4 linked regions of the Elephas maximus indicus genome follow. The protein of the gene in region 3 interacts with the protein of the main gene of each other region in a biochemical or structural test. Links are inferred from orthologs where the notes say so. Each region holds a gene or a part of one and is shown on either strand. Other genes may lie near its edges.

The links.
Region 1: the proteins of SIN3A (region 3) and SMARCA2 form a complex in vitro, tested with the Homo sapiens proteins (2 studies listed by BioGRID). The link is inferred for Elephas maximus indicus from reciprocal best matches to the Homo sapiens genes SIN3A and SMARCA2.
Region 2: the proteins of SIN3A (region 3) and KLF16 form a complex in vitro, tested with the Homo sapiens proteins (2 studies listed by BioGRID). The link is inferred for Elephas maximus indicus from reciprocal best matches to the Homo sapiens genes SIN3A and KLF16.
Region 4: the proteins of SIN3A (region 3) and TAL1 form a complex in vitro, tested with the Homo sapiens proteins (2 studies listed by BioGRID). The link is inferred for Elephas maximus indicus from reciprocal best matches to the Homo sapiens genes SIN3A and TAL1.

Annotation. Positions count from the first base shown.
Region 1 is NC_064827.1:8,528,330-8,536,136, forward strand, and holds the start of SMARCA2 (probable global transcription activator SNF2L2), read right to left. Parts: upstream 3,007-7,807; 5' UTR 2,795-3,006; coding exon 2,626-2,794; exon of another isoform or gene 2,608-2,625; intron 2,573-2,607; exon of another isoform or gene 2,287-2,572; intron 1-2,286. UniProt on the Homo sapiens protein: ATPase involved in transcriptional activation and repression of select genes by chromatin remodeling (alteration of DNA-nucleosome topology).
Region 2 is NC_064821.1:1,608,465-1,616,233, forward strand, and holds the start of KLF16 (Krueppel-like factor 16), read right to left. Parts: upstream 3,007-7,769; 5' UTR 2,898-3,006; coding exon 2,459-2,897; intron 1-2,458. UniProt on the Homo sapiens protein: Transcription factor that binds GC and GT boxes and displaces Sp1 and Sp3 from these sequences. Modulates dopaminergic transmission in the brain.
Region 3 is NC_064831.1:65,381,134-65,388,875, forward strand, and holds the start of SIN3A (paired amphipathic helix protein Sin3a), read right to left. Parts: upstream 3,001-7,742; 5' UTR 2,963-3,000; intron 21-2,962; exon of another isoform or gene 1-20. UniProt on the Homo sapiens protein: Acts as a transcriptional repressor. Corepressor for REST. Interacts with MXI1 to repress MYC responsive genes and antagonize MYC oncogenic activities. Also interacts with MXD1-MAX heterodimers to repress transcription by tethering SIN3A to DNA.
Region 4 is NC_064821.1:89,888,880-89,896,797, forward strand, and holds the start of TAL1 (T-cell acute lymphocytic leukemia protein 1), read right to left. Parts: upstream 3,007-7,918; 5' UTR 2,939-3,006; coding exon 2,937-2,938; intron 2,077-2,936; exon of another isoform or gene 60-2,076; intron 1-59. UniProt on the Homo sapiens protein: Implicated in the genesis of hemopoietic malignancies. It may play an important role in hemopoietic differentiation. Serves as a positive regulator of erythroid differentiation.

The sequences.
Region 1 (7,807 bases), on a different chromosome or scaffold from region 3:
GTTATATTGGTGAGAATTTAGTCCTTCTCGTGGCAATGTGTCAAGATGTCATAAATAGTGATTTAAATTTCTCTGGAGTATCCAAAAGCTGCTGACCTAGGAGAGTTTGACAAACAAAGGCCTTGTTTACAAAGGAAGACTTGTAAAGGAAAAAAAAGAAAGAAACCAGCAAACACCAGAGGACAGCGCCACTTTTATAATTTATGAAACGCTTCTCTTTTATGGTTTTGTTACAACACCATAACAAGCCTTTAAAATGAAATGCCCAAACATCCCAGTAATCTGAGGGGTATCACGATACTCTCCTGGGGAAAAAAACGAGACATCCTTTTTTATATTGACCGGCAGAATGACTTATCTTAATCAAAGAAAAAACATCTACAATCATTATCTGCCACAGCAGTACTTTCTAGTTATAATATTTTAAGCAGAATTCAAGCATTCACAATATAATGCCAGCTGAGGCACTTTTTATTTTTTATTTTTTTGGCAATGCCAGGCCTCGGGTGTTGGTCAAAGCACTTTTCAAGAAACTTGACAAGAAATGCTCAAAAACCACTTTAAAAATGAACAAAAGAAAAGATCTAAGGCTGCTTTGAACGTAGTGTTGCGGTGAATATTTTCTGAGACACCACAGTGCAGCCAGTCCGGATGCTGGACGCAGCTGCTGAGAGGGGCAGCCACATGGAGGAAAGCTCTCCCTCTCCTGGGCCAGTTCTTCCAGGGTTCTCATACCCCAAACTCCTGGTTCATTTTAAAATGGTCTTTAGTAATATGGCATCTCTCCTTCATGCCTCCAACAAAGCAGACAGATCTCTAATGCACAGGGCATTTCTCAGTCTACTTCAATAAATATCTTTTGAATCTAAGAGATTATAGGGGAGCTAAAAAAAAAAGTCCAGGAGAATAAAAAGGCAATTAAACCAAAACCAAACCAAACCCAGTGCCATCGAGTCAATTCCAACTCATAGCGACCCTATAGGACAGACTAGAACTGCCCCATAGAATTTCCAAGGAGTGCCTGGCAGACTTGAACTGCTGACCCTTTGGTTAGCAGCCATAGCACTTAACCATTATGCCACCAGGGTTTCCAAAAAAGGCAATTAGATTCCTAAAAAATGTGTGTGTCAATTTGCATAACAGTGCACCAACTGGGATTCCAACCAGCCACACCTCTGAACATTTCACTAGAGTGCAAGACCTAGCCTGGAAGCCTTAGGAGTCCAGTGTTGGCCAACAAGCCTACAATACCCTCCCCGCAAAACAACTGATGGAAAATATTTCTGCAAACATGTGAATATGTATATAAATATGTTTGCACACATAACATTGGAGATGGCCTCTATTTTGGTAGTCCTTTCTGAGTCTTAGGTAGTTGGCCAAGAATTTTCTTCTACTCAACCGGCGAGCAACATCCGTTTTGTTTATACAAGCAAGGCACACAATCAGGTGTAAGAAAAAACTGCTTTGAAATGGAAGTTGAAAATTTAGCCCAGCAATTGGTAGCACACAGATGTTAAAAATAACCAGTCACTGCAATAAACCAGCAAACGTGTATCTTTCATTTCTTCACGTTGGATCTGACGTTACACCTCCAGTAAGTAGTCAGAAATACGTGTCTCCATAATGACCAGAGGGCAATGACATCGTTCCATGAAGCACTAACCCGGGCTGCTTGCTATTGCAAAAACCCCAACCTCCACCAGGCTAGGGAAGGGGGGAAAAAGGCGACAACCTGGCAAAACTCTCCCAAAAGTTATATAAACAAAGGAGAAGAGCAGCCCAGCGTGGGCTCCGCACCCATGTGCTACTAAAATTACATAACACACGGTGCAGACATTAACGATGGAATGGATTCTGCACAACACCCCCACTCCCTCGCCTCCCTCCTTCCCGGAAAAAAAAAAAAAAAATCCCCAAACGCCTGGCAAGGCCAACTTGACGGCTCTGAGCATTGATTTGAAGGCTGGAGTAAATCCTGCGAGAGTTTGAGGCGCATTTAGGCCCGAAGTTTTAACATGCAACAGCCCCAGGGAGCAGCGACTCGAACTCCTCCCCAGACTGAAGGAAGAGGGACTGACAGTGGTCGGCGAGGCCTGCTTCTCCCTCCCCGGAGCCTCCCGCTGGAAAGTTTTCCACGCCATCGATCGCAGCCCCGACAGCCCGTGTACCCCGCCGGCCTGACTCTGCAGGAAAGGCGAGCCAGCCCGGAGAGCTGAGGGGGCCGGCAGTGAAAGCGACGGAGAGCTCCGCGCGTAGCGGGCGGCGGCGGCTCAAGCTCCTTACCTAGCGGCACGGAACAAAAAGCGGCGCGGGGCTCTGGGCCGGCGGGGGCGACGCCTAGGTGGCCGGCGCGGGGGTCGGTGGCGAGCGCTAGGCCCGCGCCCGGGGCCCGGCCCCCGCCGCTTCCTCCCGGGCGCGCGTCATGTCACCGCGATCAAACATGTCTGTGCGCTTCGCCGCGGTGACTTCCTGATTCTCGCCGCCCGCGCGCGCACACACTCACACTCGCAGCCACGCGCACACGCCGGCCCCCGCCCGCCTCTCGGGCCTCCCCGGCTCGGAGCTGCCGCCCGCGCCGGCTCCCCGAGCCCTGCACACACTTACACTCTCGCGCGTACCCACCGGCCGCGGGGCTCGCGGCCCCTCCGCCCTGCGCCGCACTTGGCCGCCCTGCCAAACTTTTTTTTCCAGCCTGATCCACCGCCAAGTTCCCGGCGCCCCGCCCCACCCCGGCAGCCCGGCTAGCCGGGTGCTCACCACCAGCCGCCGCGCAAGGCCACCGGATCACCATCAGAAGGCGAGCCAGGCGGCGGGGGCGAGCGCGCAGACACTGGCAGTAGGCGATTTCCCCGCGCGCACCGGAAACCGGCCCCGAGTGCCCGGGCCAGGGCTCAGGGGTCCTCGGAGCCCGCACTGCTGCGCCCGCCCCGCGCAGGCAACCGCGTCCGGGCTGCGTGGCCCGGTGCAGTCCACCCCGGGCACCCGGCTTGGCGGGAGCCCTGCGGCCGGAGGTCCCCAAGGGGCGGGCGTGCCTGCCAGGTTTTTTGGGGAAGTGCATCGCGACACCTTTGCAGATGGCATGGCCGTGTTTTGCAAGGCCAACGAGAGGAGGGCAGGCAGCCAGGTGGCGAGGGAGAGCCGATGAAGGGGCATACTCGGTTGGGATGAGAATAAAGCAAACTCGAAAGCAGGGAGCGAGGAGGAAGGGGTGCGTGTCATCGTTGGGAGGAGGCACCCACCCGGTCTCCCCGCCTCCCGCCCTCGCCAACCCCCCCATCCTTCCCCTCGCAGCCCTTCCCCTTACCCGGCGAACGCCACCGCCGCTGCCCGGGTGCGCGCGGGTCCTGTTTGTGACAGTCAGGCAGAGAGGATTATCCGGATCATGGCCTCTCGGCCAGCAGCCGCTGTGGCTCTCCCGGGCCCCGCGTGCCCCCAGCACCTGGACGATCGCGGGCGCCCCACGCCCGCGCTCCCCGCGGCGCTGGCAAGGGGCTGACTTGAAGCACAAGAAAACAGACCCAGGGAGGGGGAGGGCAATGAAACCAAGCCCGGAGAGCACCTCCGACCTCCCTCTCCCGGCTTCTCCCTCCCTCCCTCCCTCCCAGGTTGCGGCCCGAGCCGGACACCTTGAACTTCAACACCCAAGCCCGCGCCGTCCCCAGGAACCGGGCGCAGGGACTGCCGCAGCGCCCGGGAGGCAGCTCCCCGCTAGCCCCCGTGCCCACAGGCCTGCCCGCCAGTCAGCGCCCCCATCCCCGCCCGAGGGAACTAGGAAAGTGGAGGTGACACTTCCGATCCGGCACGCACCGGCCCGGCGGCAGTGCCTGTCGCCTCCCAGGCGCGCCAGCTCCGGCTCTCCCGCCGCTATCCGCTCTCTCACGTCCCTGCAGCCCGAGCCCTTTAAACAAGTCCCCGGGAGCGGGTGGCAGCCGCGATCGCTGGCGCCCCGCCGCCCGCGAGCTCCTCGCCCTCCAGCGCCCCTTCCAACTCCTCCCGGGAGGACTGCTCGGGATGGATGGTCGCGTTTGCATCCTCCTCCCGTATCCTCCTGCCACCCTCCTTCTCTCCAGGTTTTTAAGGGGTTGGGGGCATTGCAACCTTGCCGAGTGTGTGTGTGTGTGTGTGTGCGTCTGTGTGTTGCAACCTTGACTTGGCAGCGCATCGCCACCTCCTCCCGAGGGTCAAGGCTGTGGTTTGGTGCTTGTTGTCTCTCCTTGCCCCCTTTCAGTCGTAGCGATCCCTGTTATTATTAGCAAGGCCAAGCTCGGTGGAAACTTTCCCGTTTCTTCCACGGCCGCTGGGAGCTGTTGTTAGCGCATTCCACCTGAGGCCCGCGGGGAGGAGGCGGGCTTTTTTTGTTGTTGTTGTGGCGCTCGGCCCGCCTGTTTGTTTTGGTCTCCGTGCATGCACAATAAATAATCATTAGGATCATAATGCATAATCCCCGGCGCAGGCGGCGGCCGCGGGTTTCCGCGGCGGCTGCGGCAGCTGGGAGGCCGAAGGGAGGGGACCGCGGAGAAAGGAGTTGTAAGTTATATTTACCTTGCTCGCGCGGAGTGTGCTGGCTGAATCCCTTCCCTCTCTGAGTCACCCAGAGTACAGAAACAGCGAGCGAGGACTCGATTATGAATATGACTTCATTGATGACAGCCGTCCCCTCCTCTTCCTAAACTCGAGCTCCGCCCCGCGTCCCACCCTCGCCGCCTCCGCGGGCGCCGGAAGACGCGCCGCTGTTGGCCCCGCGCGCCGTTCCTCCCTGCGCGCCCGGGCGCGGGTTGGCCGGGCGAGCCTGTCACTCGCGCAGCTCAGCGACTCCGGGCGAGCGGGGGGGGAGGAGGGGCGGTGTGCAAGAATGTGGCTCGAGACAGCTCGGCCGTATGCGTGGAACAGTGTGTGTCTGCAAGGCGCCGGCTCAGTGCCGCGCGTGTGCCTGGGGCACATCCACTGCGCAGGACGCACTCGGCCCCCAGCCTGCTGGAGTTGGGCTCCCGCGGTCCTTTCCCCGGAGGGCTTCCCCCCGGGACGCCGCGGGCTCCTCTGGGGAGGCTGGAGGAGAGAAGGAGGCGCCGCGAAAAGAAGGGCAGCTCAGTAATAGTGCGTAGTAGTTTGGACTATGTGGAGAAGGTGCTGGAATTTAACTGTGCCTCCGCCTGCCAGAGCCAGCCTGCAGAGAGAAAGGGAGGGGACGAGGGGGAGGGCTCCGGGTGGCACCAAAAGCTTGTTGGTGGCCCAGTGTTGACCAAGGGGGAAAAGGGGCATTGTGGTGCCGGGGGAAACTTTTTCTCTCCACCGCCCCCCCCCCCCCGCGCTGTAATTTTAAATCAGCTCCTTTTTCCCCCCTGTAAACAGGGAGGCGGGCACAAAGAACATTCCTGCCAAATTTGCTCTTCTCCAAAGAACTGCGAGCTTTCCAATGCCAGCGAGGGAGAAACAGCTGAGAGGCTGAACGCCTTATAAATAAATAAGCCCTCCTTAACCCGTAAGAGTCAGAATCAATTCAATGGCAATGGGTTTGGTTTCGGTTTGGAACCCCTCTGTTTACTCCGCGGACTCGTCACAGCCCTTTAACCTTCCCTCGCCTGTCATCTTCACCTAAAATATACACGAAAATATGGTAAACAACCCCGATTGCCCCGAGTGGGCTAGGGAGCAGTTGGAGAATGGAACCTGCGTTTGATTTAAGAAGGGAAATAAATCTCTTATTCTCTGCAAACCGCTGTGTCTTCTTCCCCACCTCACGATTAAGACTAATAACAGCTACACACAGTAAGCTGTTGGCCCTTTGCGATTTAGAGATCTCTTGTTCCAATTTTGCCTTGAAAAGCAGGACTTTGGTGGGACCAACAAGTCAATGTTTGCTGAGACCATTTCACTTTTAGCTTTATGAAGTGTGAAAGAATGTGAGGACATTTTAAATCGAGGGTCTATTATTTTAGACTCTGGTTAATGTAGATGCTTGACTCTCAAAATTACAACTGTTCCTATGTGGTAGTGTTGTGAAAAATATGATTTATCCCTTATTTTGTAATATAATGGCTTAAATTCATCATACAAAGTGCACTGTGATTCTTGGGTGAGGATTCTTCCCTCTGGAGTAAAACCCTATTTTAAAACCATTTTACTGTTGCAAAATTGACTGTGTTTGAGCAGTCAGGACTGAAATGCAGTTCTAGGATGCTCAAAATTATGGACTGGATAAGTCAAAGACAAGAGACAATGGTGAGAACTCCAAATGCTCCCTGTGGTCATTAAGTGGCCTGGATTGTTTACATAGCTGGGCCACTACTGGCTTAGGCCCAGTCTGCAAGGGCACCATTTTATGGTGGTGAGGAGTGTCAACTGTCACCCACTCTAGAGTTTTCCTAGGCCTTGTTACGTGCTTCTTAACTTTAGGTTCATAATTTTCTCTCTCCCAAAGCAAACCTCAAGACAACAAAAGGTAGCACATCTAAGAGAAAGGTATGCTGTGAGAACTGGTTTTTCTGCCTGAGGACATCCAGTATAACTATTAACAGGGAAATATGCAATGAGAAATCTTAAGCAAAGTTAGCAATGTAGTAAAAGTGTGGTAAAAATACTAACCAACTTCTGACTGCCTAATAAATTACAACTAATATAGAGATGAAGAATGCTGTCACCTTCAGAGTCAAAAAGAACATACCAAGATCTGTCCTGAAATACAGTGCTGTCAGTGATAGGATAATATCCCTACTCCCACAAGGAAGACCAGTTGATAAGACTATTGTTCAAATGTACTCACCAGCCACTAATGCCGAAGATGAAGAAATTGAAGTTTTTTTTACCAACCTCTGTAGTCTGAAATTGATCAAACATGCAATCAAGATGCATTGGTAATTACTGATTATTGGAATGTAAACTGTAGAAACAAAGAAGTAGGATCGGTAGTTGGGAAATATAGCTTTGATGATAGTAACCATGCGGGAGATCACATAGCAGAATTTTGCAAGACCAATGACTTACGCATTGGAAATACCTTTTGTCAACAACATAAAAGATGTCTATACACATGAACATTGCCCGATGGAATACACAGGAATCAAATCGACTATATCGGTGGGAAGAGAAGGTGGAGAAGCTCAATATCATCAGTCAGAACAAGGTCTGGGCCAATCATGGAACAAAACATCAATTGCTCATATGCAAGTTCCAGTTGAAGAGGAAGAAAATGAAAACAAGTCCATGAAAGCCAAAGTAGGACCTTGAGTATTTCCCATCTGAATTTAGAGACCATCTCAAGGAGAGATTTGATGCATTGAATACTAATGACCAAAGACCTGACGAGGTGTGGCATAACATCAAGGACTTCATCTATGAAGAAAGCAAAAGATCATTAAAAAGACAGGCAAGAAAGAAGAGATCAAAATGGGTATCTGAAGAGACTCTGAAACTTGTTTTGGAACAGAGTAGCAAAAGTGAAAGGAAGAAATGATGAAGTAAAAGAGCTGAACAGATTTCAAAGGGCTGCTCAAGAAGACAAAGTATTATAATGAAATGTGCAGAGACCTGGAGGTGGAAAGCCAAAAGGGAAGAACATATTCAGTATTTCTCAAGCCGAAAGAACTGAAGAAAAAATTCAAGCCTCAAATTGCAATACTGAAGGATTCTACAGGGAAAATATTAAACGACACAGGAAGCACCAAAAGAAGATGGAAGGAATATACAGTCATTGTACCAAAAAGAATTGGTCAGTGTTTAGCCATTTCAGGAGGTAGGATGTGATCAAGAACCGATGGTATCGAAGGAAGAAGTCCAAGCTGCACTGAAGGCATTGGTGAAAAACAAA
Region 2 (7,769 bases), on a different chromosome or scaffold from region 3:
GGGCAGGACTGTCCCTCCCAAGGGCCCTAGGGCTAGGATTCTGCAGACAGCAGGTGCCTAATTATGACCCCTCATTCTGTCTTTCCCCAGGCCTGCCCAGCCCCAAGTTGCAGCATCGGTAATGCATCCCGGGCCAACTCTGTCATGTCCCAGGCCCCTATTCCCCAGGGCCACCCACGGCAGTGGACACCACCAGGCCTGGCCTTCCTCTCCCAGGGGGCTGGACAAACCAACACACCTACATTTAAAAGAAGCCGTGGTGGTACCGCAGCTGGGGGAAAGATGCTAAATAAATGGAGATTTATTTTTTTAAGCACGTAACATCGAAACCCGTCGCCATGGAGTCGATTCCAACTTAGCGACCCTATATGACAGACCAGAATTGCCACGTAGAGTTTCCAAGGAGCCACTGGTGGATTCGAACTCCCAACCTTTTGGTTAGCAGCTGAGCTCTTAACCTATGCACCACCAAGGCTCCATAATGTCCAAAGCCCTCTGGAGACTGAGTCACAGGGCCTTCACAAAGAGGCCGTTCTTCAGGAGCTGTGCCATCCTGACCCAGCATCACTACTATAAATGGGCTCGGGAAGCAACGAGAGAACAAGACAATCAAGGCCCCCAAGGATCTGCAAGGGGGTGCACCCTGACCTCCCCTACTCTGTGGAGGCAGCACGTGGCTTGACCCCAAACATCCACACCTCCTCTGGGGTACCCTGAACTCTGCTCTGCAGGCTGCAGTCTTGCCCTCTCCAGTTGTGCCATGGAATCCTTTTTCTTCACTAGCTTAGAGGCCACCGCCACCATCATGTGGAGCCCACAAACACTGAAGGGTCCCGAGAAGCCTTAGCCACACCCCTTGGGTGCCTGGGTGGGAGGTGGCCTGGCCACCCAATGTGATCTTTTTTTCTGCCCCTCTCTTTATCTTCCTCCACCCACAGAAGCCTTTCCACCTTCGAAGACCCCCAAATGCTCCTCTAGCAGAGATACTGGGACTCCACTGCCTTGAAGAGGAGTACCACCCAGGGGCCACTCAGCTGGGAGGTGGAGGGGCCTGGAAGAAACCAGGAATCCATACAAAATCCTGTTCTGGCACCCTGGGTCCCAGTCTATGGCTCCAAGCAGTTGGGTGAGACCTCAGGGAAAGGTGGGAACCATGCCCTACTCTGTGACCAGCTTCTCCTCTCCTCCCTCCTGGCTCTCCAGCCCCCACCGTCTAGCCCCTCAGTGTAGCTCCCCACGTCCAAAGACAGACTCAGTTCCTGTGCACATCAGTCCAGATCCTCACTTCGTCTTTAGGCGGCAAGTCTCCAGCCATAAGCGGGCCGTGGACTGAGCCAAGTAACCTCCACATCTACCCTGAAATGCAGTAGAAAGACAACCTCGAGCCCTTTTTACAAACGACAAAACTGAGGCCTGGGGTCATCCCACACAAGATCAGAGCTTGCCCCGGGTCCCCAGCCCTGCTTTCTTTCCTCTCCTGCGCCTCCAATACCAAGCCCAGACTGGCCACCGGAGAGCACATTCCCCGTCCCCAGGCCAAGCTCCGAGTGTGGAAGAAGCCCTCAGGGTAGTGAGGGTGGGACCCACGGAGGGGGCAGAGCGAGGGAGTGAGCCACAGCCGGAGAGAATGACCACCCAAGACGGTAGGAAAGGACCCGCACATTCAGCAGGAAAAGGGGTAGTCCACAGGGAAACTGGTGGGGTGACCAGGACTCGCCAGGCTCCAAGCACTCGCTGCACCCCAGGCGGGGCTATGCTGTGATACGCTCTAGGGTGGCTTGGGCACCTCCCCGCAGCCGCGCGCACCTTCCCAGTTCCCTCCCCAGATGATTCTCCTCCCCAGGTGGTGGGAAAGTGCGCTAAGGTTACTTGGTGAGGACTAGAGCCCTCTAGGGTTCCCCTCTCAAGTCCTCATCTTCCCCTGACTAAACCCCCCCACCCGTGCACCCAACTCCGCCCTCCGCCTCGCTGAACCTCAGAGCCATAGAGAAAACGTGCCGCGTCCCCCCTGGCCCCACGCCAGACGCCTCACCGCCCTCCGGGCCGAGTGCGCGCGGCCACCCGAAGCGGCGACGCGACTCCGCCCTCTTTACAGATAAGAAGACTGAGGCTGGGGAAAGGCAGGGCCTTGCTCGGCCTCGGTGGGCTCCATCCACCGCGCCCACCCCCAAGGCTGGACGGCTGGGGGGCCAACCGGGGCACGTCCCGCCGCAGCCCCCAGGCCCTCGGGCCCGGTGAGCGCCGACCCGCGGCGGCCGCCATCCGCGCGCCCGAACCGCGTGGCCACCACGCCCCCCGCGCGCGCCCCACCCACCGAGGCACCGCCCTCCGCCTTCCCTCCTCCCGCCCGGCGCGGCGGCGGCAGCGGCGGCTCGGGCGCGCCCCCCTCCCCGCCCCCCGCGCGCCACGCAGTTTCGGGGTCCCGGCGGGGGGAGGGGGCGCCCCGAGCCCGGCTCACCTGTGTGCGTCCGCAGGTGCGACTTAAGGTGCGACGACTTGTAGTAGGCTTTGGCGCAGCCCGGGAACGGGCAGCGGTGGCTCTTGGCGGCGGCGGGCGCGGCGCCGGGGGCGCGAACCGAGGACGGGGACGAGGCGGCGGAGGACGAGGAGGCAGGCGAGGCAGCCCCCGAGGCGGCGCCGGACCCGCCGCGCAGGTCGGCCAGGATGCTGGCGGCCAGCAGGTGGGGCGTGGCGGGCGCGGGGCCGGGGGCGGCGGGCGGCGGCGGCGCCGGGGGCCCAGGCGGGCCGGGCTCGCGCCGCGCCGCGCGCACCTCCAGGCCGGCGGTGGGGCCGGCGCCCTCGGGGCCCGGTCGCCCACGGTGCACCACGGCGCCCGAGGAGATGGCCATGAGCACGTCAGCGGCGAAGTAGTCCACGCACGCCACGGCCGCCGACATGCCGGAGGGCGCGCCGCGCGGAAGGCAGCAGGAGGCGGAGCGGCCCGGCCGGCGGCGGCGGCTGCTGCTGCGAGTGCGGGAGGCGGAGGAGGAGGCCCGGCGCGCGCCGCCGCCGCCGCCGCCCGCGCTCGCCGCCCCGCCCCGCCTGACGCGCCCTGACGCACCGGAGCCCGCGGGGGCGGTGGCCCGCCCCGCCCGGAGGACGCCCCCTCGGGGCGCGAGGCCCCGCCCCCGAGCCGGCCCGGCGCCCCGCCCCCGGCGCGCCCCGCCCCCCGGCGCGCCCCGCCCCGCCCCTGAGCGCGCCCTCCCCACGCCGGCGGCGGCCGCCCGGAGCCCGCCCCTTCCCGGCGCGCCCCGCCCCCGGCACGCCCCTCCCCCGGGGCGCGCCCCTCCAGCACGAGCGCGCCCCGCCCCCTTTGCGGCGCGCCCCGCCTCCTCGCGGAAGCGCCCTCCCCACGCCGCGCGCGCGGCCGGCAGGAGCCCGCCTCCTCCCCGGACGCGCCCCCGGCCCCAGAACGCGCTCCGGGCGCGCCCCCGCCCCGGTGGAGGAGGGAGGGCTGCGCTCCCCACGTGGTCGAGGTGGGGGTGCGGGAGCAGCCGGCCCCGCCCCCCGGCCACGTGCGCGACCCTTCCCCCTCTCCGCTAGGCCGGCCTCGGGACCTGCCCTGACCGCGCCCCCAGCCCCGCGCTCCTTTCTCTGCGGGTGCCCCTCGCCCACCCTGGAGCCCCGGGGGCCTCCCCGATCTGGGCAGCGGAGCGCCCCGCGTCTGAGTCCGGGAGAGGTGGGGCCTTTCGCTCCCCTCGGGTGACTGGAGCCTGCCTTCCTCTTTTTTGCACCCCGTTCCGGGGTTACTCGTGCGTGTCCCACAGGGGGCGGGGAGGACCAGGGCCCCCCTAGAGGGCCGGGGGTCAGAGAGGGGAGCCGGGCGAGGCCGCAAAGGAAGGGGCGGGGTAGGGCAGCCTGTCCGGGACAGTGGATCCCGGCCACCAGGGTCGGGGCCATCTCCTCCCTGCCAGGGCATGGATTTTGCGGGGCTTGGACGGGGAAACTGAGGCCCCGAAGCCGCCGAGGGCGTCCAGGCCAAGTTGTTTTATAGCGGCGAGGACACCGAGGGCGCAGATGACTGCCTCCGCCCCAAAACCCCGCAGACCCCGATGGAGCGGCCCTTCTGCCGCGACCACGTCCCCGCCCTTCCCCGACCCAGCCCTGCAGGGCCTGGAGTGGCCTCCAAGGGGAGAGCCGCTTCGGCCTCTCGGGCCTCCCTGCTGGTCACCTCTGCCAGCTCCGGGACCCGCCCTAGCCTGGGTGTGGGCAGCCGCCGTGACCTTGGCCCCGGCCTTATTCTCCCCACAGGCAACCCCAGCACAGCCTTCCCCTCGCCGGGCCGTACCCCCCGTGTGCCCAGCACACGTGGCTGCACTGAGGGGGGAGGGGAAGAGGCGGGGCGCCGCGAGGGGCAACCTGTGCAGAGACAGGTGAAGCCAGGTGCAGGCTGCTTCGCGAAGGAAAGAAGCCCACCGTGGACCACGCGGTCGGCGTTCCTGCCGGCCGGGTCCCTGTGCCTTCGGGTTTAGGAGGGTGGGCCCTCTGGGAAGGTCACCGAGCCCCCTCCGTCTCAGCAGCCCTCGGAGGCCACTGACACCCCCCCCGCCCCCCGCAGAAAGTCCGTGGTCAATGCTCCCTTGCCCCACCACCCAGCCCAAGGAGGTGCATCGTGGCACCCAGCACACAGAGCCACGTCGGTGCTCGTGCGGCTACCCAGACCCCGAACAAAGCGAGAAATGGGACGGGGCACGGCCACAATGCGGCTCGTTCCTTCCGGTTCCCCCGAGGTTTATTGTGCCTGAGACAGAGAAACCTCCCGGTCCGGCTCTGCCCTGGTGAGGCTCACGCTGCGGGGAGGGGAGGGTAGGAGGCAGACTGGTCAGTCCACCGCACAGGTGAGCGTGTACACGCCAGCCCAGGTGAGCTGGGGGGAACGGGCTGCGGAGACACTCCCTCAGCCCAGGCAAGGCCTCAGGGATGCGCAGGGGGCGCGCTGGCGGGCTTATGCGCGCGGCTGATGTACGAGAACACCCAAGGCCCTTGGGGAACGGGGGGCAAGGTTAGGGGCACGCCAGAGAATGGGGCTGCCGAGAGATCAGGGTCAGCCTTCTGTGTCCACCTCCTTCCTGGGGATAATTAGGGCCTTGAACCTGTAGCCTCTACCTGTGGGCACGCCAACTGCTTTGCAGGCAGGCGCCTCCATAGGGAGGACGCACAAAACCTCAACCCACCCAGGGAGGGGGGCCTGGGGACTCCTGGCCGCCTGCTTGGCTCCTGGCCCCCAGGGCCGAGGAGGGTTTTATAACCAGGTGGAGCCACCCCACCCCAACGTGGCGCCGCCCAGGTGCCTCCCCTATCGGTGCTCAGCTCTGCGGTGTGTTTTGTCCTGTCTGCACCATGGTCTTTATCCCCATTCCACAGATGGAGAAATCAAGGCGGGCAGAGGTCCAGGGAAGGGTTTACTTGTGCTCACAGCTACCAGGCAGCGGCTGAGCTCTGGAGAAATACAAATGGAAGCTGGCTGAGCATAAATCCCTGTCTGGCAGATCTTTAAGCCTCAGTTTCCTTATCTTTAAATAACCAAAAAAAAGCCAAACCCAGTGCCATCGAGTTGATTCCGACTCATAGTGATCCTACAGGGCAGAGCAGAACTGCCCCATAGAGTTTCCAAGGAATGCCTGGTGGATTCCAACTGCAAACCCTTTGGTTAGCAGGCATAGCATTTAACCACTACACCACCAGGGCGCAGTGGTTAAGAGCTCAGCCGCTAACCAAAAAGGTCAGCAGTTCAAATCTACCAGCTGCTCCTTGGAAACCCTATGAGGCAGGTTCACCCTCTCTTACAATGTGGCTATGAGTCGGAGTGGACTCCGACTGTATCGGGTATCTTTAAATAGGTCCCTGTAAGTCCGTCATCTGTAAACCCATCCCTGACACCATCCTAGGGGTTCAGGGAAAGAGCAGCCTGGTGTCACTGGAGGGGGACGGGGCAGGAAGAACATGGGGGAGAGATCTCTGTTAGGAATACCAGTAGTCCAGACCCTGCACCCTTACCTGAAGGTGGGCAGGAGAGCACAGAGCCTCCTGTGGTACAGGTGAGGAAAATGTTACATAAATCGGGGCACAAGGACACCCCGAAATGAGTGCATCCATAAAGAAGATGGTCAAGGTAGGTTAGGGTCAAAGACAAGGATACCATGTTGTTGTTAGCGACCTCATGTGAGAGTAGAACTGCCTGTAGGGTTTCCTAGGTTGTGATCTTTATGGAAGCACATCACCGGGCCTTTCTCCCACGAAACAGCTGGTGGGTTAGAACCTCCAACCTTTTGGTTAGCAGCCAAGCGCTTAACCATTGCACCATCAGGGATCCTAAGGGTACCATAAACCAAAAAACCAAACCCATTGCCGTTGAGTCTATTCCAACTCCTAGCAGCTCTATATGACAGAGTAGACCTGCCCCATAGGGTTTCCAAGGAGTGGCTGGTAGATTCAAACTGCCAACCTTTTGGTTAGTAGCCTGAGCTCTTAGCCACTGCGCCACCAAGGAAACCGTAGAGGAGAATATATATACAAGCTAGAATAGCTGTTAATGATCCTTTTTTTTAAAAGATGGTGAGATCTTTGCTTTTTGTTTTATAGCTTTCTGTACTACTCAACTTTTTTTTAGCTGCTGGGTGGGTTCGAACTGCCGACCTTTTGGTTAGCAGCTGAGTGCCTACCCACTGCGCCACCAGGGCTTCTCAGCAGGTACCCAGGCGGTGAGATCATGGGCCACTTTTCTTTTTTTTATGCTTAATTGTAGAGTTATTTTCTGAATTAATTTTTAAGTGACCATCTCCCCATGAGTGTGGGCTGGGCCTAGTAGTGCCTGGCTTTGAAAGAATGGAGCAGAGAGGGGAAGATAGTAACTTTACCTCAGGGAAACCTGGCGGCCCTACCATCACCAGGTTAACCCAGGTTAACATCCCTGGTGGTCACGTGCTGGCAGGGAGCCCCAACAGGATGTGACTGGGGTACTTCACTTCTGTGTGTGTGTGTATCATCACTTCTGAGGACGTTTGGGGGCTTGGAGGCAGCCCCACACAATGCGGACACTGACCAGGACCCACTGATTTGCCACCTGCCTGCCATCGGAGGCATTTGAGGGTGCACCCCCCAACCTCTGTGTTGGTCCTACTTGCGGACAAGATACAGGAGCCTCGTCCATCCAGGAGCAGGTGCTCTGGGAGAATGTTAGACTTTGGTGTAGAGCCTTTTTAAAGATTGTCTGTTCTACATTCTCCTCCACAACGTGTCTGCCTTTATTCTCAGTCTGATGTGTTCGTACCATGATGCTTAGGGGGACAGAAGGCTCAGTGTAGGACCAAGGATGCAGGCCGGGCCGTGGGAGATGGGCACCTGGCTGTCCCTGTCCTCTGCTTCCAAGCACATGTGGAAAGCTGCCAGCACTGAGGGGAAACACCTTTGGGGGTTCGCAGCCCCCTGTGTGGCCAGGGGACAGGGTCTGGTCCTTTCTCGGGTGGAGGCAGCAGGGGGCCGGACCTATGGGAGTCTCACGCTTCCTTTCACTTCCTGATTCCTTCCTAAACCCCTTAAAAAATAATAATCTATTTTGTTTTTTTTGTTGCTGAGAATATACACAGCGGAACATAACACCAATTCAACAATTTCTACATGTATAAATTCAGTGACGTGGATTACATCCTTCGAGGTGTGCAGCCATGGTCAACCTCCTTTTCTGAGGTGTTCCTCCCCCATTAACATAAACTCACTGCCACCTAAGCTTCTCATCTAACCTTTCGAGTTGCTGCTGTCAATTTGATCCC
Region 3 (7,742 bases):
ACTTGAGATAGGATAAAAATCAGTTGGGGGCAAAAGATAACAATTGTTGTTTTCTTCCTCGGCTAAAGTGTGTTAATAGCAATCTTCTGACCCTTTCGGTGTAGGTAATAGTGCCTCGAACACACAGGGAGACAAAGTGCTTGCGATAGCTACCTTGCTTTTATTCATTCACCAAAAGAGTTAAGAACTGACGCTGGCCATGGTTTTGGGGGCGCTCTCGCAGCACCAGGAAAGGGGGCGGAACTAGAGCCTTCCCGCTCACTCCAGCAAAAAGGCTACTCCCCACAGAGAGGCGGGTGGGTCCCGAAGTGGCAGGCCGCAGGGAATCTGCTCCTAGATCCTCCTACCCTGTCCCCCGCAATCCAGCGGAGACGGCCAGAAACGAGCTCTGGCAACAGGTGGGCCTGACTCCCAGGATGGTTCTGAGCCGCGGTGCCACGGCGGCGAATTGTGAACTCCACGACAGGTGGGAGCAGCCTCGCCAGGAGTGAAGCCTTGCCCCCAGACGGAGCTCTAAAAATAAGTCAGGTCTACGAAAGCAACCCCCGGGCCAAACGTCTCTGAGGTTACAAAGAAAAGGCATTTTGGCAGAACATATCAAGAGGTGCCTTTAACCCTGGACCGGCCCCTCTTCCCAGGACTGGATGCCGTAAGTCGCTCCCACCTAGACACGGAGAACCACTCCGAACCCGAGCCAAAAGTGGACTGCCCTACAGGGAGATGAGCTGTCCTGGGTCATGCCTAAGACTCCCAGGCGAACCCGAGACAGCCAACAACGCCAGCCACCTTGCCCTGTGAAGAAAAAACACTGCCAGCGTGCGCAGCGATCTCTAGCTTAAGCTAATGGCAATCCCCTGGAAGTCAGGGGCCGCCGGTGTGCGAGAATAGCCAGGCAGCGGTCAGAACTTTAATACGCAGCCCCAGCCGGGAAGGGCAGATTTCACCCTCTCAGCTCCTGCAGAATCCCTCAAAATCCACTCCACACGGTCATCCCCTAGTTGGACCACGAAGGCCAGCAGACTTCGATCCTTGGAGGGATCTTTGTGTGCCTGCTCTGCTCGCGCCCCCCCGCCCCCTCTCGCCCCCGCCCCCCACGCCAAGGGCGCCGAGCTCAGGACTTCCGGGCGGGAGGGCAGTTCGAAGGAGCGGGGCGGGCCCCATACATGTGCGAAGCGCGCACACGAGCGAAGGGAGGGGGCAGGGACGAGTGGTTGGCTTTTTCCTCCTCCCAGCTCGCTCCGCCGGAGGAGGCGGAACTATTCATTTCACCAATTAGAAATAGGGGCGGGACCTTGCGCCTCACGTAAGCCGCAGGAATCCTCCCTCCGCCCTTCTAGGAAAAAAATCCTAGCAACTTAAACTCCGGCCCGGCCTCCCGATAGGCGGAGCTCGGGAGAATGTCACCCAATTGGTAACCAAGAAGAGAAAAAGGGAGTCTCGCCCAGCCAGTAGAAAACAAGAGGAGGCGGAGCCTCTGGAGGAGCCCGAGGTGGGTGGAAGAGACGGCCCCGCCCTCAGCTACCCTCCTGGCCGGTTGCACAAGGCTCCGCCGGAGTATAGTAAACAGGCTGGGCCAATGAGTGGAGGCAGGGGCAATCCCGGTGCTCCAGGGGTCCGGTCCCCTCTGCCTCCTCAGCCGGCGTCCCCGCCCGACCCCCGCAGTTCGCGCCGGCGCCTGCTTCCCCGCTTGCAGCCTGCCGGAGGCCGCCATCCCGACTGACAGGCGCGCTCCCTGCGCCCCTCCCCGCCCGCTGATGCATTTCCTTTTCCCGATTCCAAGCGTGGAGTCTGTTTTCCCTGTTTCCGACCTTCACTGCCCCTTTCAGGCCACCCCCTCGGGGGCGCGCGCAAATACGCCCGCGCCCGATTCGAGGCCGAGCGGCCCGCAGCGGCACCTCGCGGGAAGGGGGAGCCCGGCAGCGGCACGGCCGGGGGAGGGGGAGGGAGCAGCCCCGCCGCCGCCGCCGCCGCCGCGGGGTGGGAGGGAAAGGAGGGAGCTCCATGTTTGCAAGGGGATCAGCTGGGGCTGCGGGTCGGAACCGCCGAGTTCCTGGAGGTTTTCCAGACCCCCGGGCCGAGCTCAGCGCCGGTTCGCGGCCTGGCGGGTTCCGGCGCCGAATGCCGACTCCACCGCCACAGCCCGGGAGTTCGGAGAGCTCCGGCCGGCGCATGGGGCTGTTGCCGAAGCGCGGGGACTCTTTCCGGTGGCCTCTCCCGCCGCCGGCCGCCCCTCTCGCAAGTCCGGCGTTGCCCCCGCCCCCAGAGTCCCTAACAACCGCTGGCCCTCGGCGCCCGCGCCTCCCGGGGGCGCGCCCACCGGCCCCTCCGACAAGTTTGCGGGCAGAAACAAAACCCCTGGGGTGGCTGCCGCCTTCGTGCAGCGTGGTTAGCGGGGAAAGCCGCGGGCCTCGGCTCGCTTGCTAACTCCAGCTCTCGACCAACTCCAGGCACCGCGAGCTCAGTGGGCCCGGCCAACCCGGCTCGGGCCGCCGCCCCCTGCCGATCCCGCGCGCCGCAGCCCGGGCCTGGTTCCAGTCGGTGTACGGAATCCCCCATTTTTCTTTACAAATTTTTTCAAAAGGGAGGGACATTCCAGGAGCGGGGAATCTCCTTCTGCCTACCCCTTGCCCATTCCGCCGCCGAAACCTACCGAAACCGACTGCTCGGTGAAATAAACTAGGGAGCACGGCTGGCGCCCTGGCGACCCCAGGCCGGGCCGGCCCCCTCCCCACAGCTCCCGCCCGGCTTGGAAACACACTGGCAAGCGGGCGGCGCCAAGAGCTCTCCTTCCTGGCCTGCCCCTCGCCTCCCTCAGCGGCCGGACTCCGAGCCTCCCCCTGGCTCCGTCCCGGGGCCCGTGGCGCCCGCACCGCCGCGGGCTGGCCAAAGCGAGCGGCCATGGACTAGCCCCCCAAACGCCGGAGATTGGGGGGACCAAATTAAAAGCAGCTGTTTAACATACCTTCCGAGCCAGGCGAGGAGTCCTGAATGGGGGGGAACGCCCCCCACGGGCCATTGGCTCCCCGCTTCTAACGTCAGTCATCCTGGGCCCGCCTTCTCTCCTTGCCCCGCCTCTTCCCCTTCATTGCACGCCCCCTCCCTCCAAAAAAAATATAAATAAACTCTCCGCGAGTGGGCGGCACAACTGTGGCAGAGGTCCCTGTCTTCTCAGTCTTGGAGTTTGAGGCCCTCGAGCCGGAGGGAGGCCTTCTGGGACTTGAGGATCCGCAGGTGGACCCGGAGGAAGAGGGAGCTGGGCTGCGCGGCCCCCACTTCCTTCACACACACACATACACACCCTTCAGAGCTGGACGGAGAGGCGGGAAAGGGCACCCTAGCGCCTGGCTGGAATATCTGGCTGTGACCTAACCGTGTCCGGTGCCCTCTGTTATCGCCTAAAAGTGAGTGATGCAAGTGGGAATCCCTGCGTCCAGGACAACAGGCACTTGTCTGAGCACCTTCGGGTGAGGCAGACACGTTAATACCGCGCCTGCTGCTGGGTCCGTTCACAGAGGCCGGATGAGAGGCTCACTCCACACCGTCCAGGGACTCCCGGTCCAGCCGAAAAGATGATACAGAAAAAGCTAACTCAAGGCAGGAATGTGTACATAAATAGACATCTCTAGGAGCTCAGGGAAGGGAGATTCCTTCCAGCTGAAGGAAAATTAGGAAAGGTTTCATAGAGGCATTCAAGTTGGGTCTCGAAGGAGATTTCACCAGGCAGAAATGGAAGGGCAAGTCATTTTTCAGCAAAGGGCACAAAGGGGTAGGTGTGAAACATTGTTAAGGCCCTTCAAGTGCAGCTGGGATAGTTAATGAAAATTAAGGTTGGAAAGATGGGACCAGAGGAAGGCTTATAATATTTGGTTAAAATGCTTGGACCTACACAGCTGAATGTGTTTGAACAGGGTGGTCACAGGGCCACACAAAAAGGCCCAGAATTCTGGTCTAAGATGCTCAGCATCCCAGCGGCTGGATGGGTTCTGAGGGTGGGCTGAGTGAGGAGTGCCTAGGCTGTTGCAATGACTGGTTGGAAAGTACAAGAGGCACATTGTAGCGCTCGAGTCAAAGCGCTACAGATTCTTCCCTGCATCATTTGCCGAATTTGTCATAACTCCCAACCAAAAGGATTTCTGGTGGGGGGGAGTAGGAGGCACCCCACAGGCCTGTGCTTAATAGAACTGAGCCTGTGTTCGAGGTCCAAAATGTGTGAGCAAGAAAGACCTGTTAATTGAGGCAGCCCTACCCGCATTGGGGCAGTGAGGAAAGGAAACTGGTGTGGATGAGGTGGGATGTGCAGAGTATGATGGGCCTTAGAGGCCTGTGGGCAAAATGGGGGCTTGCTGCTGTTTAGGAGGCTGCCTCAATAGTTCAGGTGAGCTGTAATGAGGACCTGACTGGGGCAATGAGAGTGGGGAAGGAATAGGAGAGAGATGTGTTTTGAGAAAGACTCAAGGGGAGCGGGTGACTGGTTCAGTGTAGGTAGTGGAGGGAAGGAAGTAACCAGTAGCATGCTGTGTGAGGAGGTGTATGAAGAATTTGTGGCTAGTGGTTGGGTCATCTGGGTTCTAAGCCAGTGACTGGTGACATATCCTTAGGCAAATCCCTTTCTCCCTCTGGACCCATTTTCCCCCTGTGAAATAGGGGTGGAAATTGGAGTAGAAAGACATCCTCTAAAAACCCTTCCCTCTGAGTTCATGTACCTGCCCCAGGTGCGTGTGTGTTGGGGTCCGGGGGATCCTTCCACTAAGAGAAAGGGCAGGTAGGAAGGTGATTTGGGAAATGTAGTGGGTCACCCCAGGAGTCTCCGCTGATGAGATCATTGAGGGGAAAGGCCAGGAGATGAGGACTGTGTGTTTAATGGCAGGCCATGGAGGTCAAGCTTCACTCTCAGACCAGAGACCCCCTGATGTCTGGAGCCCCCATCTCAGATTCCTGCTGTATTACCAAGGGGCTCTGCCCTCACGGAAGGCATAGCAGATACCAACCGAGTCAGTGTGGGATGAAGCAGAGTGCTAGAGCAGTAAGGACGCTAGCTTGGAAGTTGAGCCCCCTGGTCCCCACTCAGTCCCTTATTATCTGTGGATCAGCCTCCCCTCTTGTAAAAGAGGATAACATTATAATCCTTGCCTTGCTGTTCTCAGGCTTGTTATGGGGATAAAATATGATGATAAAATGCTCTTTAATACACCTGAGTTTCTGTGCTTCTGTGGAGACCAAGGACCCAAGCATTTGATTGAGCCTGGGAAGCAAGTAGTGTGCTGTGGATGAAATTACTTACAGAGCATTTGCAACTAGAACAGCTGCCCCCCACCCCAGAGAACCAGGTTTCCCTGACACTCCCAGCTTTAAGTGTACCACCTTGTTGCGGACTCCCCCCTCAACACCCCTAAACTGACCTCAGGAGTTACCTTGGAAGGGCTCCAGTGATTGTTTCTGACTCAGTACACTGATGCCTGCACAGCCAACCCCAGCCTCTGTGAGAATAGTTGATTTGGTGACACTGGCCCTCCAGCTACACTGAGGGTTGCATCCACATCCCCCTCTCCATGCCAGTGATGACAGAACAGTGAATATACCTGGGTGAGAGCCCTTCTTGGAGAAGTCATGTTGGGATGCCAGGTTCTGATTCCCAGGAGGCCTCTTTTGTGTGAAACATCCCACAAGTTTTTTGAGTTAGGGATTCTTAACCTTATTTTCCAGATGAGTAAACTCTGAGGCTCAGAGCAGTAGAGTGACTTTCCCGTGTCAGGTGGCCAAGTCTATCCGGGCTCATAGCCTGAGTAGCCAAGTCTATCCATGCCCAAAGCCTGAGCTGTGTCCCCACATGCTGTCTCCGTACACACTGGTGCCTGAGATGAGCTCCAGGTTGGGACCCCTACAGAAAAGTCTCCCCTCTTGCTCCACACTTCTCACCTCCATAAATGTAACAGCAGTTTGTCCCCAGAGAGTTCATTTCTAGCTTTTTCAAAAAAATTATCCTCCTCAAAGAAGCAAGATTTGTCTTGCAGTCACACACATCATATGTCAACTCACAATACACATACTCAAAACTATCACACCTTCTGACATCCACAATTTCACAGAAAACTCACACACACAAACACCCTCATTCACAAAAAGAACTCATTCACAGTTCTTTAGGGTGCTTATGGTGATTAGAGAAATTTAGAGCCTGCACTGCAGTGCCCTGCTGCCAGAACCTCTGGCAGCTGTAGAAGGCAGCCACAGCCTGCTGGGGAATATCCATGTGAGGAGCATTTGAGGCTTTACTTTGGAATCGGAGGCTAGGTCCCTACCCCCACCCCAAGCACCCTATAGCTTCAAGGGGAGAAGCTCAAGCTATTGGTCAGGATTCTGGTTCAGCCACTTCCCAGCTGGATGGCTTTATCTTTATCTGTAAACTAAGAATATCTACTTCGGTGGGCTGTTGTAACATTAAAGTATGCCTAGCATTTCGTTAAGACTTCTCCAACTTTTTTCGTCATCCCATCCTCACCCCCTCTTCTCCTGGTCATTCAAATGCAAAGTCCCTGAAGTTGGAGTCCTAGCAGTGAGTCCAGGAGCTGGCCTAAAGGACCAAACAACTCTACTATGTGAAGAAACTCCATTTCTCTAGCAACCAGGTGGTGTAGTAAGTTGTTTATATTCCATATTCTGATTCCTGGGTGGCCTTGGAGGCTTGGGAATTTTGAGTAGGTGTTAGACTGCCATTCTGTGTCTTCAAGTACCTTCCCCTCAGTGTGAGTTTACCCCTCTGGGTTGCTTCCAGCCCAAATCTGGAAAATCAATATAACTGTCTGTTTCCCCAGGTTACCTGGATTTATGCTTTAAAAGTGTTTCCTTCGTATATCAGTTGTTTGGTAATTATTTTCTTTAAGTGGCAGATGCCCTTGTTCAAATGAAATCTTGGGAGGGCTAATATGTAAGAGACAAAAAGTGGGGCTTGCTTTGGTTGAAGTGGCAGTCAGAGCACTCTAGTTTCTACTTTGCCTTCCACTTGTGCCTCCTCCTTCTGACAGCCCCTGCCCCAGGAAGACAGCTAGCGAACCCGTTTTTCCAAATCTTGTTCATTCATCCCAACCATTCCCCACCTCTCAACAGCCTGTGACAAGCCAGCCTGGCTTAGCCTCAGGTTACCTCTGCCTATTGCTCAGTATCACTGAGGGGCTTTTCTTCCTCTACCCATCTTCTAAATGTCGGTGGCCCCCACAGGTCTCTCCTCTCATCTTGCCCTCCTCAGTCTTGGCTGATCCCACCCACTACCAATGCTCATTGCTTCTATGTAGACAAAGTCCCAAATTGGTATTTCCTGTCTAGTATCTGTCCTGAACGTTAGACTCGGACTTCAACTGGCTCCTGGACACAGGTAGTCATTAAAGGTCAAGGAGGTAAAACAGAGACCCCACAAGATGAAGGGGCTGACCTCTGCTCCGTTGCACATCTGCGCAGTCCTGAGGCTTTCAAACTATATTGTGGCTTAGAGAGGCAGACAGGTTCTAAGGTGGGGGAGGAGTAGAAGAGAGTGAGCCTGGAATGGGGGAGGGGACACTGTGCCTTTTTATTCTTTTTTTTATATAAATATATACTACTGTTTAAATCTCAGTCTTCCTTTCCTACTGCCATAGTTATCATCTTAACAACTATCATGAATATATTACCCTAAATTCCTGAAAAGGAACCACATTCTCAGCCTCTGTCCAACACTCCCAGTTAGGATCTTAGAATAGTTAGCTTGGTCT
Region 4 (7,918 bases), on a different chromosome or scaffold from region 3:
CAGAACCCAAGGCCTCCCTGGACACTGCTTCCACCGACATTCTTCCCACCAAAACTCACCTGGGGCATATTCAGAAAGACTGGCCCTTCTGAATAGGATCTCCGCTCCTCCCCCTGAGAGGGGCGGGAGCCCAAGTCCAGGTTGTGGACCTGGGTCTTTACTTTCCCCCTTTCCCACTGAAAGGCCAGCAGTTAGGCTGTGGTGTGGTCCAGTGTGGTCTGCCTCGCCCACAGCGAGTTTCCAGGAAAGATGGGGGTGGAGAGAGAGAGGGTGAGAGGGAGGGAGAGAGAGTAATGGGGGTCAATGGTTGGGAATTACCTCATGCCCCTACCCACCAGTCCAAGGAACAGCCACTAGCTTTCTGCCTCCAACCTGCAGGTGTTTGGAGCCAATGGGGGTATCTTCTCCCCCCCCAAAAGAACCCTACACCTGACCAATCAGGAATAACTATTAAGTCCACGAACAACAAGCCCTCCCGGAAGGCTTCTTGGAACATTTTCAGACCCTCCAACCGGAATCCGTCCCTTTCAGAAAAGCAGTATGCTTTCTAAGCGCGACGTGTCTACGCGGTTGCCTCCGGAACCCGGCTGCAGCCACACAGAGAGGAGGTCATCCGGGACCCCGCGGATGGGTTGGGGGATGTGTATCAGAAAACGAGAATCAAGTCTTCAAACCCTGATCCACGGGGCAGAACCTCAGAGTGCCTCCATTCTCTCCTTGACCCCCACCTCTTATTTCCAGCCCAAAGCGAAACCAGAACCCAACTCCAGGGGCAGTCCTTTCCCGAAGGAATGGAGTCGCAGCGGCGTGAGCAGAAGGGGCGGGGGAGGGAAGGCAGTGTACCTGGTCCATTCAGGTCCGTTCCTTTCTTCCTACATGTTAAGAAAAAACCAGGGGTGCGGCAGGGAGGGAGAACAAGAAAAAGAAAAACAGGGATGGCGGGGAATTCCCACCTTCTCCTCCGTCCTCCGTCGTCCCTACGCAATGATTTTCGATTCTTTGGTGCTTGGGCATAGTAGGGGAGAATTCTAATAATTAGTTACAGCAATAAATAAGGCAAAATGGAGTGTAAAAACAAACCTGACACTGCTTCCGAGGGTGTAACGGGATTTAGTTTGCCCTCCCCACCAGGGTTTTGTTTAATTTGTTTTGCCTGAATCGTCCAGTTTATGATTATACATCGAAGTCTTGGATTATTTGCGGAGGCCTCTTTCTTTTTGCCCCGGGTTGGTGGAAATATAGGAATAATTCTTTCTTGCGGTTTCAATCCAATGCGGGAGATTGTCTTTCTCCTCTTTTAATCCAAATTGGGGTGGGGGAGGGCGGATCCTCTCACTCCCTGTTTGTTAGTTCAGGGTTAATTTTCGCTTTAAGGCTGAGCCTCGGTGTCAGTCCCTATCTCCATATTCTCTCCACCCCAAACCCAGCAACTTAAAAAACAGAGGGGAGGGAGGACGCCGCTTTGTTCTTCCTCCAAAGGAGCCAAAAGGAAAGGGACAAGCCGCCTCGCTCCTGGATGATCATTTTAATTAAAATAGGGTGTTAATGATAATGCTGATGATAATGACGACCCCAGCATTAGCAACAACAACTGGCAAAACAAAATCCTTTCTTCCCAAGCTTTGGCAGCACGGACCCGGACCTGGCAGGCGTCACGACGCAACGGGCACCCGTACCCACGCACGAAGGGCGCTCACCCGGGAAGGGGGTCGAAAAATGCCCCCCCGACCATTCTGAGGGTCCCCACCCGAGGCGCAAACCCTGAAGGATGCGCCCATTGTCCTTTTAGGGCCTCTTCCCCAGACCCCGGCGGCCGCACCCGCGAAACTGACCAGAAATGGGCGAAGCCGGTGTGCGACACGAGCAGAAACCCAAGGCTACCGGCTCGAAGGCGCCGGCCTCGGCTAGCGCAGCTCAGCTTCGAGCCTGGAAGAGCCTGCTGCTCTCCAAGGAGACCCCAAACACCAAGGTACAAACTGGCCTCTGGACAGAACAGCGGCCAACCAGGCTCCGTCCGCCCATCCACGCCACCACTGGCTCCCGAGTACATCATAATTTGGAATAAAATGTGAAATCCCGATCCCCGCCCCCACGCCGCCGTCCCACCAGCTTCTGGATCTCCCCCTCGCCCTCGCTTCCCTCCCCCACTCCAGCGATTGCAAAAGCACCTCTAAAGGACACAGGCACACAACCCAATGTGGCCAGGACCACACACGACTCAACCCAATAGAAGGAAAACAAAGTAAGCACAACCCAGCACTGATCCACAAACCGGTATGGTCAGGCCTACACACCGTCCAACCCGACACAACGAAATCGGTCAAACAATCGCTCATGGACACACAACCCAACCACACACGCCCGACACAGCAACGAAACCATCCAAATACAATGGCAAAGGCTACATAGCCCAACTTAGAGCAGAACACGCAAAACCCCACGCCTGTAGAAAAGGCTGATAAGAATAATCATATGCAACGAAGAAAACGCAAAGAACTCATTGAAGGGTCCCAGTCTACACACCCAAACAGCGCAGACACCATCACACTCTGATACACAACCTATTGCCAAGAAGACCTCACTCCAAAACAGTCAACATTGCCACAGCTCGCATCCACGCATTCTCACAATCCCACCGCATGCACACAACCACGAAGAAGAAATGAAAACCAACCACCGTCTCGCGCATTTCTGTATATTGCGTAAGGAAAAAGGGGAAGGAAGGAAGAGAGTCTTCGAGGCGGGAGGGGCGGCGGCGGCAAGGGCGGGGGCGTCGTGGAAAATGCGCCCCATCGAAAGAAACCGAGTGGAAAAGAGCGAAGACCTCTTCTGCGGGCGAGGGGCGGGGGGCGAGGGGGACGGAGGGAGGAAACTGAGGCAGAATTTCCTGGGAGGCCGCAGGTTGCCTTTTGCGTAGAAAAGGCCAGAATGCTCACATTTTGCCGGTTCGGGGGGGACGCGTGTGGCCATTTTGAGGCCTGGTCCTTAGCAGCCGAGGCCCGGCCCCCTCGCCCGCCCCCTCCCCGCCCGGCGCTGCGCGACACCCGGGCTCCTCTACCGACACGGTCTAATCCCGCTCACGTTCGAGGCCTCGTTAGCATGGGCCGAGGCGCGCCGGGGCCGTGTGCGCCGCAGAGATAAGGCACTGCCGCGGGTCCGCCCGCCCCCGATAAGCGCCTCGGCCATTATGGGCCAAATGATTCATTTTAATTTGGCAATTTCACCGGAGGGAGTAGGGACGGGTTGCGCGGCGCTGGAACCGGCTCCGGAATCCGCTACCGAGAGAGGGGCGCGCTGTCTAGGACCAGGCGGGTCCAGCCCCTATTTGTGATTCTGAGGCCTCTCGGGAGCTTTAGCTTCCCACGATCTCATTCCCTTGGCCTTCCAGACACTTTTCCTCAGCGACTTTCACTCCAGCATTCTGTCCCTGCCTCTGAACCATCCCCTCCTAAACCTCTCCCCAGTATTCATTCATTCTTTCTCCAGGGTCCAAAAATAAAAACACCCGTTGCCGTCGCTTCCATTTGACTCATAGAGACCCTAAAGGACAGAGTAAAACTACCCCATAGGATTTCCAAGGAGAGGCTGATGGATTTGAACTGCCGAACTTTTTGTTAGCAGCCTGAACTCTTAACCACTGCGCCACTGGGCTTTCTCCAGTGTCCTAGACACCCGGATTTCAATGGAAAGTTCCCCTTATCCTAGAAGGCTCCCCAGCTTCTCCCTGACTACTGCCCTTCAGCCTTGGTCCTGTTCTTGTCTAAAATGGAGCCTGCTTGGCCCTAATATCCTGGACTGAGCTCAAACCTAAAGGGCTCTCTGGGAGGGTGGGGAGGGGGTCAGAAAGTTTAAAGCCTGGGAACACCTCTCCCCATAATATTTGTAACAAACATTGCTACTGAAGCACTGTTCTAAGGACCCTACAAACATTAACTCAACTAAGTTTCATAAACAGTCCTATGAGGTTGTTGCTATTATTATCCTCAATTTACAGATGAAAAAACTGATGCACAGAGAGTAAAAGTAACTTTCTCAATGTTTCATAGCTAGTTAGTGGTGGTGCCTTGTTTAGAAGCAAGCCTGGTACCAGAGTCCTTTCTGGAATGCCACTGATGAGGAGCAGCAGCCAGACCCTAGACTTGGGTTCAACTCATTGAAGGAACCAAGATCTGAACTGTGGGCTAGGAATCTGAGTTCAGTGAGGGGTGGGTGCCTGGGGCTCAGCCTATGGAGGGTATCTGGATTCATTTTTTCATGGTGGAATGGAAAAGAGCACAAAAATCAAACCTTACAAGTCACTTAGCTCTGAACCTCAATTTCCTCATTCGAAAAATGGGGAGATAATGCCTACTTCCACAGAGTTGTAAGGATTAAATAAAATGGCCCTTAAAATGTGGTGGTGGGAGGTGGTAATCTATGGAACTTCACCCAAGGACTGAGACAACATCCTAGGCACTCGTACGGGAGTTCCAGTTATCATTTTTGAGAAGGAAGTTAGGCACAGAAAGAAGTGGCTTGGCCAAAGTCCTCCAGTGATGCAGAGGAAAAGCCAGGTACTGAACCCAGGTGTCCAACTCCCAGCCCCAAACTCTACCCACCATGCCAGGCTGCTTTACCCTTCCAGCATCTCTAGTTTTGAACCTATTTGGAGTCTGAGAACCGGGGAAAGCCCCTAGTCTGGGTACAGACTGAGTCCTAGTCAAGGATTGAGCTCATAGTCTGCCCCTAGCCTGAGCCCTCACCCCTCTAGTCATCAGTCTCTGAGAAGGCATGGTTGGGTCTACAATCTGTCCCCTCTGATTCTCATATGCTCTCTGACAGAAGTCAGGATGCCGTATGTATAACTTTCACAGAACTCCACAGGAGAAGGGCAGCCTGTGTCCTAGGAAAAACAGTCTAATTCCTGGACTTGCCAGGAGGCCTCAGCTGGCCCAATCACACCAGCTACTCAGCAGGGACACAGAGGAGGGGCCTCTATGGTCTATTCATCCCCATTTCCCACTCTCTCCTCCAAGGCTCCAGTCCTGGCTGCCTGAATACTCCCAAGTCAAATTGCACTTTGCTTCCATTGTGTCTTAGCTTCTACTGGTCCTCCTACCTTACTTCCCTCCTCCTCTCACATGCAAAGCCCATCCATCCTTCGAGACCCAACCTTTCTGCCACTTTCTCACTGAAACCTTGCATCTCCCCAGTTGGATTTGTTGTTTCACTGCTGTGGTCCCCATTGCCTTTGCTTGGCTGCATCACTCAGTAGGAAGAGTGGGAATCACATAATTCTCCATTTGAAGTCCGGCTCTGCCACCCTTGGGCTGTAGAACCATTGAGCAAGTCATTTCTCATCTCCGAGCCCCTGTAAAATGGGATCAACTGTTCGCGTATCAGAAAACCTGACTGGGGAATACTTCCCTGAGAACATGATGTCTGGACTGAGATCTAAGAGTGGGACTTGGGGTGGGAGGTGCGGGTGTAGATAAAGCAAAAAGAGCCTTCTAGGTGGGCTAAGGGACCAGCTGACCCGCAGGTTGAAGCAGAAGGGCTGTAGGTTCATGAGAGCAACAAAGGAGTCCGGTATGTCTGGAGGAAACCTGGGAGCCATTTTAAGGGTTTTTTGAACCATTTCGTTTGGTTGGTTTGAAGGTGCAGCATCCTATACAGAATCAGATTTGCATTTTCAAAGAGCTCTTTGGCCGCAGTGTGGAGAAGGGATGTGTGTGGGTGGGGAGGATGCAGGGAGGCCAGTGTGGAAGTCAATGTAGTGGTCCAGGGGAGGGGTATTGGAGCTTGAACTGGGGTGCTGCCAGAAGAGACGGTGCAGAGGACAGGTGTTTGGCATGAACACTGGGTTTGTAAGGATTTGGTTTGGGGGTGAGGGAGAGGGCAGACCCCTGGGTCTCCAGCTAGATGTAGGTGTTAGCCCTGGAGATGGGGGGTCTGCAGGTCAATAGCATAGGAAGGGATTATCCATTTGGTTTTGAACTTCTTGAGTTTAGATGTCTTTGAGACATCTACAGACCTTTGGATTACTTTTCCAGGCATTAAATGACCTGCCTGGCCCCTCCAAGCAGGGATCTACCAAGTAAAATATCGCCTAGGGTAATTAGTGTTAAATTGCTGAGTGATCTCTCACAGCAGGCGATGGAAACTGTGATGGGCAATAAAAAAACCAAACCCTGGCCCTCCAGATGATTCAGACTCATAGCGACTAAAGAAACTGCTAATTAGCACCCTGCCTCAAGCAGCTCCCAGTTCATGCACGCGACGCCCAGGGCAAGGCGCCCTATCTGCCCCCACCCCCACTCCTAGTGAGGCCTCTGCTTCCGAGGGCTGCCGTGAAGGAATCCTGGCAGGTTGGCAGGTGGAAAGGCCTTTGTCAGCCCTACCATCTGTCTGCGGGAGGCGGAGAAAGTGGCCTTCACCACCCCCACCTCCAACACATACGCACCCGTGAAGCTCCAGATCCTAACACCGCCTGGCAGCGGCCCCTGACTTCGTCCCCCAAACCCTCCCCTGGTGCGGGGGGCTCTGACGTCTACACTCTCCCCCCTCCCTCATTTCCGACAGTCGGCAGAAAAAACGGAAACTGCGCACCAAGCGGGGCGCCGCCCGAAATAGCATCTGGTGCCTGTCGGTCAGCGCGTTGTCCGAATATCCCTGAGCGAGTGACGTGGTCCGGGGCCCCGCCAGGAAATGCCACCCCTCCTCCACCCGCCCCCAACTGGGCCTTAGTCGGGCAGGAAACCCGGAGCGCCTGGGGCGGGAGTGGCAAGGGGGGAGGGGAGGCTGGGACCCAGACTGGTAAGTCTGGAGTCTGGTCCTGGAGCGGCCAGAACCAGGAAGGCCAAGAGAACAGCCCAGCTAGGCTTTGGGCCTGAGGCCGTGGTCGCCATTCTCCAGCCTGCCCAGCGCCCTCTCCTGCTCCAGCAAGACTGGGTTCTCCTAAACTTCCAATCCAAGGCTTTTGACATGTTTCAAGTATTTTTGCCTACCCTGCCTCTAGGTATTAGACCATCTCAGGACTGCTGGTGGCATAGTGGTTAAGTGCTACAGCTGCTAACCAAGAGATGGGCAGTTCGAATCCGCCAGGCCCTCCTTGGAAACTCTATGGGGCAGTTCCAGTCTGTCCTTCCTATAGGGTCACTATGAGTCGGAATCGACTCGACAGCAGTGGGTTTTTGGGTTTTTTCTGATCTTTTGCCCTGAACTTGTCCTCTGGGGGGATGTGATGTGTGTTCACTCTGATGGGCAGCAAGGTTTATCCTCAATAAATGTATAGGGCAGTTACTAGGTCCCTGGAGGGCACAAACGGTTTGCACTGGACTAATAACCTGAAGGTTGATGGGTGGATCCCACCCAGCAACACCTTGGATGAAAGACCTGGAGATCTGCAGACCTGGTGATTGGCTTCCATAAAGTTGGTTGGTGTTGTTAGGGGCCATCCAGTCAGTTCTGACTCATTGTGACCGTATGTACAACAAAATGAAACACTGCCTGGTCCTGCAGCCATCCTCACAATCGTTATTATGCTTGACCCCATTGTTGCAGCCACTGTATCAATCCATTTCATTGAGGGTCTTCCTCTTTTCCAATGACCCTCTACTAAGCATGATGTCCTTCTCCAGGGACTGGTCCCTCCTGATAACATGTCCAAAGTATGTGAGATGAAGTCTCTCGTGGTCCATGCTTCCAGAGATTACAGCTAAGAAAACCCTGTGGAGTAGTTCTACCTTATAACATATGGTGTTAGCATGAATCTGAATTGACTCCATGGCAACAGGTATGTGCCAGGTACTGTCCTAAGTACTTTATAAATATAGATTCAGTTAATCCTTACAACAGCCCAATAAGGCAGGGACTATTATTATCTGCGTTTTGTAGGTACCCAACTGAGGCACAGACAGGTTGAGCAACTTGTGAAGAA